Arabidopsis thaliana: one gene and its partner. The protein of the gene in region 2 purifies or fractionates together with the protein of the main gene of each other region. This does not show direct contact. Each region holds a gene or a part of one and is shown on either strand. Other genes may lie near its edges.

Region 1 (7,612 bases), 4.1 Mb from region 2:
ATTCATCAAACTATTTGAATGGCTAGAAAAGTTGAAATTTTTTTTGACGATCAATTAAATTAGAAGGCACACAAAATACTAAACAAAACAAAAAAAAAATATAGCTTGCCACAGCAGACATCCGATGAGATATAATAGTCACACAAGCACAACTAACATTATGAAAAATCTAGTCACCTTCTTCAAATGCAGTTTCGAAAAGACTAAGGAGAGTCAAACAAAAAAACTACAATGTGGTTGCATTGGCAAAAATGTTAAAAAGGAGAAGAACTGGGAACAAGATACCATAACAGTTATATGTAACCTCACCTCTTTTTTCCTGTCTCTTTTTCTCTTCACCTCGTGAAATGGATCTGAACAAAACAAAAGCTTTTTAGCGAACCAAAACTATGATGGCAACAATAACACACATATTAGTCACCCAACGAAACGAGAGCCAAGAAAAGAAGACCAATAATATTTCAAGTATATAGTAATTGAAGTATTCTGAAGAGAATTGACAAATTATCGAAATGAAAACAAGAGTTATCCATCTATCGAATTATCAACAGAACTCCATCAAACGAAATTTGCATAACCTATCTACAGCATTCTACATACGCCTCAAACAAGATGTTGTAGCATTCATCGTGATCAAGATAATGCGGACCAGAGAACAAACAGTAAAACCCTAACTTCCGTCAAACTAGGAAAGCAGAAAAAGAGATGAAGAGAGAAGAAACCTTGATGAATCAGCTTCTCCACAGCCTCGTTAGCATCCATGTTAGCTTCTTTTAAGGCAGTGTAAATATCAGCATCGGAGTGACTATCCACAACTTCCTTAATCGATTGAATCATCTTTTTCGCTTCATCATCGAGTCCTACCCCACGATTACCGCTAGTTCTGGACCCAGTCACCATTACGGATCAAAGACGTATCGAATAAACCGAAACACACAAAAAACAAAGAAATTCAAGGATCGAGTAGCGAAACCAAGTGAGATCAGCGTAATCAAGGTAGATGCTAATGATTCGACTCTTAAACCCTAAAATCGGATAGAGCAACTACTAGGGTTTCGAGTACAGAGAAGAGGGAACGGCTTTAAGAGAACAAAAAAAAAAAAGAAGTTAGGATTTATTCTCACGCGTCGAAAAAATTGGTTCCAAATTCACTAATTGGATAAACCTAATTGACTATTTTACCCTTAATATAACTCAATAGAAAGATTAGTCAAAGGAGAAGTGAGAAATGGAAATTTCTAAGGAGATACAAGTTAGCTGGCAATTTAACTGGTTTTTACTTTATACATTTCTTATTCAGAACATTTAAGTACATGCCATAATTATTAGCACCAATCATGGTCAATATAATTAGAGAAAAAGTAATAAAGTGCACAAAGTGTAATTTTCAAATCCAATAATATGAATTTTCTTAGTATTAAACTATATACAGTACATTACCTTAAGAAAATAACACCAAGAAAATCCAGTAAAACTAATACCTCCTCTTTATAGATAGATGTAGATGAGAAAGAAGAGAAAGAGATGTACTAACAACCACCAACTAAAAAGCACATTCATTATCTGAATCCCAAGTTATTTCCATCACTCTGTAGCTTTTTTCCAAGTAAAACATATAAAAGAAAAGTGTTTTGTTTTGGTGTGTGTCAGATTCTTCTCTAGAGAGCCTTCGACCGTCATCGGTCATCACAAGTATTGTTGTTGTATCCGAGCTCTGTTCTGCTCCCACCACAATCTTGCATTCGTTTCCCCAAACTTCTCTCGGCTACAACCACAAAGACAATGTTGTTAAAGTGCTTGCTTTTGAAAGGGTTTTACTAAGGAACAGAGAAAGTAATGTATCTTTACCTGAAGCGAACACGCCTAAGCTCGCGAGTCCCATCTGGTAAAGCTCTGATTGTGATGTAAACACCTGCTTCGTCCTGTTCCACCCATTCTGTTTCAATGTCACTTGCATTACTTACAGATAGCTCCTCCCCTGAATGATCTGCTTCTTCTTCTTCCCTTGAGAAGCTACTTCTTGCAGACTCATCAACAGATGATGTCTCGGTTTTTGTCCCACTTATGCTAGAGAGTTTTGGTGTTGTAGCAAGACCAGATGAATCATGGTGTCGACTTTGTGTTTGGGTTGTTGGTTGGTGAGCGAGTGAGCCAGAAGAAGCGTAGCCTTTTCCTCGAGAGCATTCTTTGTTCAGAGGTGGAGTTGCAGGACCATTCTTGGTAGACTGAATTCGCGAGCTCTGGTATACCAAATTAAAACTAGTTAGACCTCAAAGTATCAAAGACAGGTTTTGATGAGTAGATTCATGTGTTCAGAAGTGAAGAGGGTGCATATACCCCATCTTCAGATCTAGGAGGAGTTGGAAGTGGGACGCTCTGCTGATTGAACTGCTGTACATTGTATAATTCCATGACCTTGTCGAAATTCTCCGCCCACCACTTTTGAGCTTGCCATTTATCGAACATTTCACGGCTGCAAGTAATACAAATTTGAAGAAATCAACAAATTAGGAGCTGACTTAACCATATACAATACAGAACCAAAGAGCTACCAGGTTAACAGTCTTAGGTTCACAAAACTCAAGGGATCTGCAGTAAATTGTCAAAACTAGAATCTAGAAATATCAATCCTAGGGAGCTGAAGTGTTCCTCTTGCCATGAAGAAAGTTAGTTAGATCATCTTGCTCTCATTATATGTTCCACATACAAAAAGAACTTTACGAAATTCACAAACACTTCCCCACACAATTGTCCTTGGGGAATTCATTTAAGTTCTCCATCGGATTCAACTACCGAAATATAACCCACATCTCAAAGACCTTTCTTGGCAAAAAGGATGTACAAGTTCTCATAATTATAAGAAATGGTTTGGGACCACTTCAATCGATTCAAGAAAAATGAAAGCAGCAACAGTTTCCAACACAGAAATCTCACATAATAATATCCTAAATATCAACTGTACTCTCACATTGCTTGTCTCCAAGAACCACACATCTCTACTTCCAAAATCAAATTAAACAATTTCAAAACAGTATGGATTAGTTCATTTGAGTATCATCTTCAATATTCCTGATTGGAAACATATTGTACCATCTTGATTAAGTCCAATATCCAAACTTTTACTTAGTGTAAATCCTACAAAACAGTTAAAAATTACCTGAACCGAATCCGCTTCATATCATTCCCTCCCTCAGGCAATGATACAAATGTGATGAGGACACCAGGCTCCACTTGAGCAACCCATTCCTTGAGCTCATCTTCTTCCTCCATGAACACTGTAGACTCTGTCCTACCACTCATGGATTCAGGTGTTCCTTCTCCACTCAAAAAACCTTTCAACCTTGACTCCATTTCCTTCCCCAAAATCTTCGGTGTTGAGCTTCCACTCCCCGCTCTCTTGTACGCATAACGAAACCTCCCAGAATTCGAAGCAACATCCGAATCAGCGTAGCTTCGGTTCTTATTCTGATTAGACGACCCAGAACACGGTTTGCAGCTTTTGTAAGCACCTGATGCTTTTACTGCCATGTCTTTAATCTGAAGATTCACATACAAGAATCACATGTTATTCACAAAATTAAATACACAGTGAAAAACATTCTGAAAGTCACGGACTTAAATTGATTTGTTCTTAGCTTCCAAACAGAAACCAACAAGAGCAAAAAATGGTCCTTTTCTCATTTGTGTTTTTTTTTCGTGAAAGTGACACAGAGGAAGAATGTTTATCTCTACCTGTGACGTCAGGGACTTAATCTGCTTAGACCTGGGTGTTTCAATAACTCTGTCTTCTTCTTCTTCATCCTCTTCTTGTTTCTTAGATCCACCATTGTTGGTGTTTAGCTGCTTCGTACAAGCTATGCATGTCAGCATCTCTATCACTCACTAAAGAGTTTCAATTTCGACCTGAGAATTTAGAAGAATGAAACCCAAGTCACTTCCTCCACCAAAAATAATCAAATCTAAGAAATGAGAACCCAAAAAGGCTCATAATTTGTACCTTTTTTTGCAACAGTAGTTACGCACTTCAACTTCTACCTTCCAATATATAAACTCAACACTCACTAAAGTCGATTGCTTTTCTCTCAACCACAGAGATTCAGATGTAAAACCCCACCGGTGAAATGACGGCGAAGGGAAGGAGGAGACCGTTGCGGCAGGGGAAAATTAGGGTACCAGGATCTGTAGATCAGACCTAGAAACGACTTCGCATTAAAGACTCTTCTTTTTTTTTAAACTCTCTGGGTCGGTTTACTTGTGGCTTGAAAGCTCTTATCAGAGAGATTGAGTGAGATACACTCTTAAATCTCAACACTTTATGAAATCCAAAGCCGAATGCAGAAGCAAAATGCAAAAAAGCTACGAATTTTTGGGGAGAGATAGAGAGAGAGAAGAGCTTTGATATTTGGGCTTTGAGATCGTCGGACACTGTGAAAGTTTGCGCACAAGTGTGGTGTTGTGTTCCTCCTCCTTCCTAATTCCTATATTAAACAAAAAAGCTCTACTCTTTTCTTTTTCTTCAGAGAAAAAAAAACAGTAATGGCTATTTTCAGATTCGTCTTTAAGTTTGATACTTATGGATTATTATGACCAAAACCAAAAAAAAACAAAAACGTAACACAGTTTTTACTAACATAGATTAACCAATTGAATAGTTCTACAGCTTTATTGCTATTTTTTAATATCCGCATTTTGTCAACTTTTGATTTATTATTTATATTAAATTACTTAGTTTTGAATCGTCTTGTATTTCATTTGCTAACATAACTAGTAGTATATTCTTCAATTTTACTGCTTTGAGAGTGAAGAAATCGGACCAAGAAAATTTCAAATGTTATTCTCTTCTTTATTTCCTAGTTTTTTTTCTTTATTCTCTTTTCCCTTTTCTTGCTTTTTTTTAAAAAAAAGAACAAATAAAACTATTTTCATAGAAATAATGAAGCCGTGCAAAATATCCATGGTGTGGCCACATATTGACACGTGCATTTTTAAATGATTTTGGCTGTCTAATTTTGCACCCAAATAAAGGAAAAGAAAAAGGAAACCAAATAACTAATCCATTTTGTTATCTGTCAATTTTCTCAATAACGAGTATTTCATAATTTAAGACAGTGACTCTGGGAAATGTGACAGAATGTTACTAGTTGGTAATTACTCCTAATTTATTCAAACATTTAGAGGCAACTAGTCGTTTAAATTATTTTAAATCAACTGCATTCAAATATGAATGCAAAAACCTAAAAAGGAATATTTACGAGTCTATATAATGTCAGATTTGGTCACAGGAGCGCCGTGAAGCAACGGGCGAGAATTAACTACACTCTGTGGAGTTTCTTACCATACACTATTTTACAATTCGTAGTTAATGTTTTTAGTTTTTTTTTTGGCTTGCTTTCTCTATTTTTTTCACTAATACAGCTGAAACATTTTTTTAAATTAGGACAAAAGAAAACAGTTTTTATAGCAATGAATGATCAGATCCGATACTGCAAAATATAAATTAATTTAATTTTTACCATACCACGTGAATGATCTGTGTTTTCTTGTTTGATATTGTTCTTTCTCTTTCCATTTTAATGTTAGCTCGTATCTTATAGCTATAACTATGACCTATCCGTTACAAATAATACTTTATGATGATCTCTCTTTCACCCCATGTTAAATTGAACATAATACTCGTATAGTCTTAAGATTTCTGTCTTATCTTTTTCAAGTGTATGTTCCAACCAGGTATCGTGGTCTGGTGGTAAAGGAACCTCGACTGAGACGTCCGACACCCGGATTCGATTTCTGGTCACCAGAGAATTAACATGCGGATTTGCTCTAGCGCCTCAGACCACCAGTTCCAGGGAGCCATTAAGTAGATGTTTAAAAATTCCTGGTCGCGGGCTTAAACCCAGTGGACTAGTCAGATCACTGTGTGGTCTGGACACTAAGTTGTCAAAAAAAAAAAAAAAAAGTGTATGTTCCATTGCTAATTAGAGAGGTACAACTTTGAAAAGTGTAATGTTTCATACATGTAACTCTTATACTTTTTATTGGCCACACCAGTTTTTTTGTATTTCATCATTTTAATAATATTTCAGAATTCTCCAACTAATCCATGTTTAAGTAATTTTGGAGTATTTTTCTAGTGATGCTTTTCTGATTATATATTTAATTTGATCAATTATGATCATTAGTATTTATGCCTAGCTTTATGGTGACAAATAGCATATTGCACCTTAGAAACTGAAAAAAGGTATAAAGTGATTTTATCAAAAATAAAAACAAGTGATGATGAGACATGCAAATGAAGCATGTAATATTTAGATTCAAGCTTGTTATTATTAAATAATCATTTAAACTTTATAGAGTTGTTTTTCCAACTAAGCCTATTAATGCTTTTTCCCCCAACCTTTTCTGTCTCCTTCAAGGCTTAAGCACTTTCATTATAACCCATTTTGAAAGTCAAGTTAACATTATCCCCATCATTAAGCAAACCATACCCTTTTAAAAGTTCATTTCGAATTTGAAGTATCCTTTGCTTCAGGTTACTTGCTTTTACAAAAACTCTTTATTCTTGCTGATTTCTTTCCACAAATGAAATAAAGGTAAATTACAATCGAAGGCTTGATCCTTTATGTTTTATGTGTGTTAAAAGATTTAGAAGTTCTTAATGGCTAAGGTAAAATGATCGATCAAAGAAAAGAAAGAAAAGACAGAAAAAGAAAACATAAAAGCTTGACATTCAAAAGTTGAGGCCTATAAAGTTTCTCAAACTCAGTTTATAGCCCATGTTGAGCCCATTAAGGCCCAAATATAGTTGTACCATGCACTTGCCCGTAGGTGATTGGTACTCTACACAACGATCTGTTTCGTGTAGCTAGCTGTTCTTTCCTTTCATGATTTTGCTTCCTGCGGAAAATCAAAGAGTTAGCTCAGCTCCGATCACTCTCTCCGATTATCTTTCGCTCTTTAGATTCATGGTGAATCGTTTACCGTCACTCTCTCCTCGTAAACCCTAGCTCTCTCCGAAACCCTAACTCGCTGCGTTGGAAACTAATCGAGCTCGTCCCTCTCCTTTCGGAAGCATTTCTTTAATCGGTGTTGCAGAGGCGTTTTGGTTTCTGATCGGGTTAGCTTTCTGAGGTAAATATCCTCTTCTTCGATTCTTATATCTGGATTTTTAGTTTATCTTCATTGCTTCTTTATTCTTCCGCGTTATTGGGAATTTGATGATTTAGGGTTTGTTTTACTGGAATACCTAGCTCTAGCTCGAATACGTTGGAGATCCTATTTCATGATTGCAGATGATTGTATCTTTGATTCACTGTTATGCCTTCCTTTTTTTGCGTCTGTTTGTGCTGAAAACTCTTTGATTTTGTTTCCATTTCTTAATTGTTTGTGCTGCGGATTAATGGTTGAAATCAACACTATCTTTCTTTCTTTCATCCACAACGTTTTCTAGACTAATCGGCATGTTTGATGAATGAAGCCAAGCAAGTGTTGTTTTATGTTTATTTTTCTGTAATGGCGATGCGAGGCTGTTCACTGATTGTATTTTGCTGTTAGATAGTAATCATCGGTTTCAATGGTAACCTTCTATTTATAGTTTCTGCGTCAGTTGAGCAAT
Region 2 (7,604 bases):
ATTGCTAGACTAACCTGTAAAGACCGGCTTTAACGTTGATGAAGAACCAATGACGATTGTTGATTGGAACAGAATCAATAGCTTTTTGTATTGTCGTGAAATTTCCATGGCCGGATTGATCAACAAATACTTGTTGTTGGTATACTCCGAATGGCTTAGCTTCAATGAGGTGAGGTAGACAAAAACAACAAAGAGCGATGAGACCTATGAAAATTCGATGAGTTCCCATTATTACAGTTTCTGATTTTGATTAGATGGTAACGAAACGTAAGAGTTTTAAGAGAGGGAGGGTAAATGAGAGTAGTGGAAGAAATGGAGGATTTTTTTAACAAGGTCGTGAGGTTAATGCTTTTTTAGTTAATTGTAAATATTTTGATGAAGATTTTGTTACTTTGTTTTCCTTTGATTATGTGAGGTTTTTATTGTGCTATTAAAGTAGAATCTAAATGAAACTGGAAAGTTTGGCTTTGTTTCTAGATTTGGTGATCCAATATCTTGGTTTTATGTGAGAGGTCCGAAACAAGAAAGGAAGTTGTAATATTTGTTTTGATTGTGGTAACTGTAAATAAAAGTTAGTGGTCGAGACTAAAATTGAAAAATTATTATAAATTATTTTAAAAACTTAATACATAGTGGTTTTATTTTGTATAGAGATTACACTGAAAAAATGGTAGAAAACTTGAAATTTGTCATACAATTAATATTTTAGGTTAAATCTTTGTAGATGACTCTATCCACATTGATAAATGATAAGTATATCTGTCTTGTTTGGAAATAAAAAGGAAGCTTTTATAGATTTGGGCGTATTTCTCCAAATAATAGGAACAAGTAACACATTGGAATAAACCCCTTTATAAGAAAAAAAAATAACACATGTGAATGAACAATACACTAACCCTTTATCAATTTTTTGTTTTGTTTTAATAATACTACTATTCCTTTAAATTTTATTTCACAAAAATTTTCAAAAAAATAATTACAATTTTGCATCCTCAGAAAAATATGACGTGTTATTTTCAAAAGAAAAATAGAATTCTATATACAAACTGTCACCCTCTAAATATTTACCGCTTTTTGAATAGAGATGAGAAAAGTCTCAAACTCCAACCATTTATTTGAAGGCCATTCTAGGATGGCAAAAAAAAAAGATATGTTTATTTTCATTTTCTTGTTGACATCTAGTGATCACTGATCAGGCACGTTTCAAGTATCAAATATCGAGAGAGTACTTATACACGTGCTTACACTTTTTAGCCCCAAGAAAAATCGATTAGGAGTAATCACCAGTGGTCCTCATGTATCTGTCTTGCCATATTTTCACATACCTTTTGAAAACAAAGACTGTGTAGTGATCCCATTTCTTGTTAAAGTGCTCTTAGACTGTAAAAAGAGAAAACAAATTCTATGTACAAACATTGAATTCTAAATCAACTCACGACAAAAGAAAAAAGTAATCAGAAATCTAGATCAACTCTCTCCATTTTCAAAAGTAATTACAATGATTATCTTACCATTTAACACAATAATACGATTGACAAACACGAATCTTTTTTGCTTACCTTCGATGAATTAATATAAGCTATATAACAAAGGATCTTCAAGTCTTGGACGGATTTGGAATTGGAATTCTCTGGCCTTGGACTCTGTCAAGATCTTACCCCCGTACGAACCTACTTGGTGTGAGAAGAAAACCAAGCAGTGCTTTTGGAATTTATTGTGTATGTGTCGGATCTGACTTGGATTAGAGCTAATGGTGAATATATAAAGAAGATGAAGACAAGAGTTTCGTCTTTGTTGACGTACGAGAGAAAGATTAAAGACAATCATTTTGAGTCTCCTAAATGAATTTGTTTTTCTGAATTCTGACACTTAGTTTCTTTAGTCAAATCACTTTTGAAAAAGTGTAAAAGCGTCACTTTGTTTAACCGAATGGTCAATTTTTTGAAGATTAAAACTGGCTATTTCTAACCTTTTTTTTCTTCATGTTTTCTTGTTGTATATATATTGGCCCATTTCTCATAGACAAATCTCAAGAAAATGATAGTTCCTCTCCCTCCCCTCAAGAAAAGTTTTCATGCATTGTTTTTTTCTTTTCTTTTTTATTTTGTGAAAAAAGTTATTTCAAGTAAATAAGTGGTTTAGCATTCTAAACCGCTTGTTCAAAACCTACAAATCAAAGCAGCAGAAATCACAACAACGAGTTCTAACATTACAAGCGACACAATCATCACTAAAATTTAAATTGCATGAAAAAAGCCCCAAAAAAATAAAGTAAGCACTCCCTTTAACTTAAACACTCTTCCAAATGCTTGGAGAATAAAACCCAATATGTAGAGATTATTACGTACTGTAATCTTCACCAGTGTACAAAGTTGTCGCCGTGTGATGATTTTCAAGTAAACACAATATTTCCCAGGTTAGAGCTTCCAGATCTGAAATAAAATTGTTTCCAAGCTTTAACACTTCAAATATTGTGATAAATATGTTACAATATATATATATATATATATACACACCATATGTAACACACAAAGAAAATAACCATGATAGATTAGATACACCATATATATCTAACATTAAAAGCAAATAATCATAACATCTAAAAGGTAAAAGAACAAACAAAAGACAAAAGCTAGACATCTAAAATAGTAAAATGTATAACATCGAACCACCAATATCTTTTACTCTAAGACTTTTTACCAGACTCATATACTCACACACTCACAGAGTCACACACACACATAGTAATGATGTCTTGATGATTAGATAGACCACATTGCACACAAAAAGATATAATCATGACATCTAAAAGGTAAAAACAAACAAAACACAAAAGGCATGTGAAATGGATAACAATGAACCAACATAAACTTTTGTTTTAAGGGACCAACAGAAACTTATCAAAAGTATCTTTAATCGAAAGAATATTTAAATAGCAGAAAAATATATATCCTTACATGTTGGTATTTGCATGAATGAAACTAAATATCTGTTGGATGGAACTTGCTATGTCTTCTGCCGTAAACCTCGTTTCACTTGTTATCTGCACATATTTTACATCTACCTCATGTTAGCCATTGATAGTTATTACATATACTTTAACAATACAAATCCATAATCTATGATTATATTGAAAACCCTAAATAAAATTATAAATGTGTTTTATGACAGCTAATCCAGATTAGATAATTACATGTATTATTTGATGAGTCTAGATTTTGCATATGAAAGCTGAATATGAATGATGAATTACTTTTTAACATATAAACTTGCCTTGACATTAAAGGAGTAGAGGACGGTTTGTTCCATGGTAGTGATGTTAGTGTGAAGAATAGAGAGATGAAGATCCTCCAAAGCAGCTATAGTCTTAATCAGCTGTCCCGGCCTTCTTCTTGAAAGTATCTTGATCATGGCGTCAAACCCTAGCAGCTTCACCTCCACGTCAGCCAAGCACGACTTGTTCTCCGCAGTCTCCTCCCGAAGCCCTCCTCCGCCCTCTAGCTCGGTTACATTTCCCGTAATAATGAGCGGTTGTGCTTGGTTCGCTACCGTAGTTATGGGAGAAGAAGAAGAAGTCGTTGTCGTTGTCATGTCCCTACCGGTTTCTCCTAAGATTCTTCGACGCTTCTGTGATTCAAGACATTGTAGGAGTTGCTCGAGCTCTCTCACAAACTCTATTGCTCCTCCTATGATTGACGCTTGGTCTCCCTATTTTATACAATTAATATTTGGTGTAGACAGTATAATTAGTTGTACATATACATATAAAAAAACATTCACGAAAATTCTTTCTTTAAGATATAATTTATGAATATCATACCCTTTGAACGTAGGAGCCAGGCATGAGAGATCTAAGGACACGAAGATGCTCATTCATTTGCTTCCTACGGTTTCTTTCGACCGCGATATGAGTCATCCGTTGGCTTTCCACTTCTTCGCTGGTCTTGCTCGTTCTAGCTCTCTTCCTCTTGCTCTTCACCTCCTTTTTCGTAACATTCTTGTTCTCCCTATCTTCTTCTTCTCCTCCAATAAAACGTAGTTGCACGGAGTTGTTGTCGTTGTCATCGTCTTGATCTTCTTTTTCTTCAAGAAACACATTGCCTATGTTTCCTCCACACTCACCTCCTTCTTGAGACGTCTGATGAGAAGGCATGAGATGTTGGGTTTGGTTATGGTCCTCTATTTTGTCGTTCAAGACAGGGAACTTCAAGAAATAAACGGGGTCAATCCCGGTTTCTTGATCGTCTTGGTTTCTGGTCTGGTTCAACGCAAGTTTCGAACCGAAGTCCGCAAACTGCATCACATCAGAGAAGTTCATTTTATCAAAAGGTGTTGCTCCAAATCCGGAAGGAGAGAGTTGATGTTGCTGCTGTTGTGGCATCGATTGCTTTTGTTGTTGTTGAAGGTTTCTATTGAACATATAGTCTATCATACCAGAGCTGTTATCATCGTTACCGCCTGAGGATTCACCTAAGAAGTTTGGTGCCTAATAAAAACCAGAATTGGAGAATGAAGTTAATATCATAAGCAGGAAGATTTGAATCTTATACATAGATATCTATCAATTTGTATAAGAAAAGAGATTAAGGATCTTGAAATACTGGAAAAAAAAACGTACGTACCGAGTAATCTTTATCCATTGCTATTCGTGGTAGTTGATTATAAACTGCTTAAGTCTAATGAAGGTCAAGCTTCTTGACCTGATGACAACAATCCATGAGCTTCACAGTCAGTTTTAAAAACATATACATGAAACAAAAACACACGTAGAACAAGTTAAAACCAAACCTAGGCAGATTACATGTTTCACCATATACATATACATGTATTTTATATGTACAAAACAAGTTTTCAAATTGAATTTTGACAATTAAAAAAAATGATTAACACCAAATATATTAGAGCTTTGTTTAGTAAGGAGTTAACAAAATAAAAGGGACTGACCTTGTATGATTTGCTAGGGTTTACGAGAGATGTATATAAAAGACGCAAGACATGCAAGATAGTAGAAGAAGACGGATTAGAGAAGACAAAACTTAAAAAAGTGAGGGGAGCTTTTTGTATTGAGAAGTCATAAATGAGTAAGCATCACCAAGCTCCCATATTTATAGAGAGAGATACATTATACATGTGTACACAAGGTATAGCAAGGGGGCATTAAATTTCTTAAGTATGTATATTCGTAATCATTTGTTTCTCTAATTACTAATTAGGGTGTGAATGGTACACATTCGTGACCCAATAAAAACAAATTAAACGACTTAAAAAAAGATACGTAAACATGTTTCAAAAAAAAAAAAAACAATTTTCTAAAGAATAAAGATAAATGAAAATCTACATAAGTTAATCTAAAATATTGAGGATTAGTAGTAAGTAGTTTGATTGCAGTGGCTGTTTTATTCTACTATCATATTCCCATTAATTATCGAGACATCATTGTTTTTCGCAATTTTCTATGCATTCTCTTTTAGTTTCTAAAAGTAGAGAAATATCAACCATCACATAAAATGTTTTAGAAAATCTAAAAACTACAACCAAAAGATATCAATCGTGGGAAAAATGAATTTTCGTTACTATTGTCCTTTTTTATTGCTTTGTAAGAAAGAAAAAGGGATGTTATTATTGCCCTCTTATAATTGTTAGAGATACTTAATGCTTAGTAAAAAAAGCTTCCAATTGTAGCAGGATAAAGCCGTGCAGTCGGAAGTTCTCAATGTCTCCCCAAATGCTTTTGCAGAAAATCATGATTGGCTAATCAAAAGATGCTCATTCAATCAATCCCTTTGTATTATGCACATAATGTGTCAATATTAATTTTCATCCCATTTGATATATAAATATCATTACATATATAGTTATCTAGTTCTTCTCTATCTTCTACATAGAAACACATAACAATCCAAATTTTACGGTCAAATTTGAAATGGGGGATCTAGAGCAACTCCCTAGCTTATTTTGAACAAAAATTAAGTTCAATATTGACTCAAAAGAAAGATTATTGAATATTCCAAATCATATCTTGTTTTTGTAATAAATACTCTATTTCTTTTTGCGTTAGACGTAAGGGTGAGGAGCCACAAAATACGAAAAAAGAAGTAACGTGAAAACACACGTGTATCAGCTGATCACCTCTCTATCTATCTATCTTTTTTTTTTGTTTGTCAAACCATAAATGATAAGATTTGAGTTTTTAGAGTTCACAAGCCAAGGCCGCTCTTTTTCCACCGCTTTTCGTGAACTTAATCAAATCTCTATACGCTTCTCATCTTTTAGTTTATTTCTATAGTATTTCAAATTCAAGCACTTATATTAGTTATGTGTTGTCAATAAAATATGATTTCTAATAAAAATATTCTGGTCAAATATATGAAATTAGTTTCACGAACATGACCTATACTATTTGTGTGTGTACGTGGAGACATATACATTTAAAGAAAAAGACACTGGTGTGGATGGTTACGTTTTAACTTTTAACAAAAAGTGGAGTAAAAATTCACGTTGATCAATCCAGTGAACTTTTTCGGGAATAAGAGTCGCGGATCCATAGGAGTATTTTAGTAGGTGCATATTACACAAATACTATGTTGAAAAGAAAAAAAGAAACATGAAAGAGCTTGCATCGAAGCATCAACCAAAAAAAATACTTGCTGCAACCATTCCCAATTGAGCCAACAAAACAACTATTACGATACATAACACCCACAGGCCACAAGCATCGAAATACTGTAAGATATATAGATTTTAAGATCAAACTTCAATGATAGCGAGCGAAGAGACTGATTGATATACTCAATTCTTTTTTAATTCCAAAAGAATAATTTACATTCTTTTTTATCATAAAAAAAAGTAAAAAACATAAAAATTTGCATTCTTATACCATAAATTTATTGTCAATATACAAGTGCAGTTCAAACCAAGTAAACACACATATTTATTATATCTATATCATATACATACTTTTGTTTTGGACTTTTTTTTCCCACTCATATCAATAAATTTTTCTTTGAGTAGTAAATTTAACACTAAAAATTCACTAGTAAAACCACTTAGTGATGGTGATCCCAAAATCAATTTCCAAACTTTTATCACCACCAATATCATTACCAATTTTCAATTAATTTCACTCCTTTAAAAAGTGTTTTTCGCCTACTTTTTTCTTTAAGATATACAAATCTTTTTTATTAAGGAATCTAAAAAAAGCATATTGTTAGATGAATCCAAGTAAAACTAAGTCAACAGTTTTGTAAGTTATAAGTTGTAACTCTATAGATTTAAGAGAAATGAGGTCAAATGGCACAAAAAAGCTTTCAGTAAGCCAATGACAATTGCTCTCTCATATATTTTACCAAGTTAATGAGAAACGTACCCCTCCATTACACCTTATCTTCCTCTTTACAAAAATGTTTTTTTTTTGTTTTTGCATTTCATCGTTTTCTTTCCGCTTTGTTCTCTTAATAATCTAAATTGATTCAATCTTGCGTTCTTTTTCTTTTTTAACAGTTTACATTTTTTATGTATGTCATAATTTTCTATTTTAAATAAGAGACATAAATTACTTGACATATTAGTAAGTGACTCTAAAGGAGAACTCAAAGCTTTTATTT

The links. Proteins that work in one complex are often made in the same cells at the same time.
Region 1: the proteins of FMA (region 2) and ATBRXL2 purify together in Arabidopsis thaliana (affinity purification with mass spectrometry, with the first as the bait; one study listed by BioGRID). This does not show direct contact.

The regions. Positions count from the first base shown.
Region 1 is NC_003074.8:4,629,484-4,637,095, forward strand, and holds ATBRXL2 (DZC (Disease resistance/zinc finger/chromosome condensation-like region) domain containing protein), read right to left. Parts: upstream 4,599-7,612; 5' UTR 3,998-4,598; intron 3,932-3,997; exon of another isoform or gene 3,904-3,931; 5' UTR 3,871-3,903; coding exon 3,733-3,870; intron 3,538-3,732; coding exon 3,158-3,537; intron 2,474-3,157; coding exon 2,338-2,473; intron 2,241-2,337; coding exon 1,849-2,240; intron 1,766-1,848; coding exon 1,687-1,765; 3' UTR 1,382-1,686; downstream 1-1,381. Other genes in the region: AT3G13990 (dentin sialophosphoprotein, putative (DUF1296)), read right to left, coding at 310-353, 723-900; CID4 (CTC-interacting domain 4), read left to right, coding at 7,571-7,573.
Region 2 is NC_003074.8:8,713,133-8,720,736, forward strand, and holds FMA (basic helix-loop-helix (bHLH) DNA-binding superfamily protein), read right to left. Parts: upstream 5,080-7,604; 5' UTR 4,945-5,079; intron 4,701-4,944; 5' UTR 4,641-4,700; coding exon 4,623-4,640; intron 4,487-4,622; coding exon 3,821-4,486; intron 3,709-3,820; coding exon 3,274-3,708; intron 3,044-3,273; coding exon 2,958-3,043; coding exon of another isoform or gene 2,954-2,957; exon of another isoform or gene 2,433-2,953; coding exon 2,393-2,432; 3' UTR 1,986-2,392; downstream 1-1,985. Other genes in the region: AT3G24130 (Pectin lyase-like superfamily protein), read right to left, coding at 15-229. UniProt on the Arabidopsis thaliana protein: Transcription activator. Together with MYB88 and MYB124, ensures that stomata contain just two guard cells (GCs) by enforcing a single symmetric precursor cell division before stomatal maturity. Together with SPCH and MUTE, regulates the stomata formation.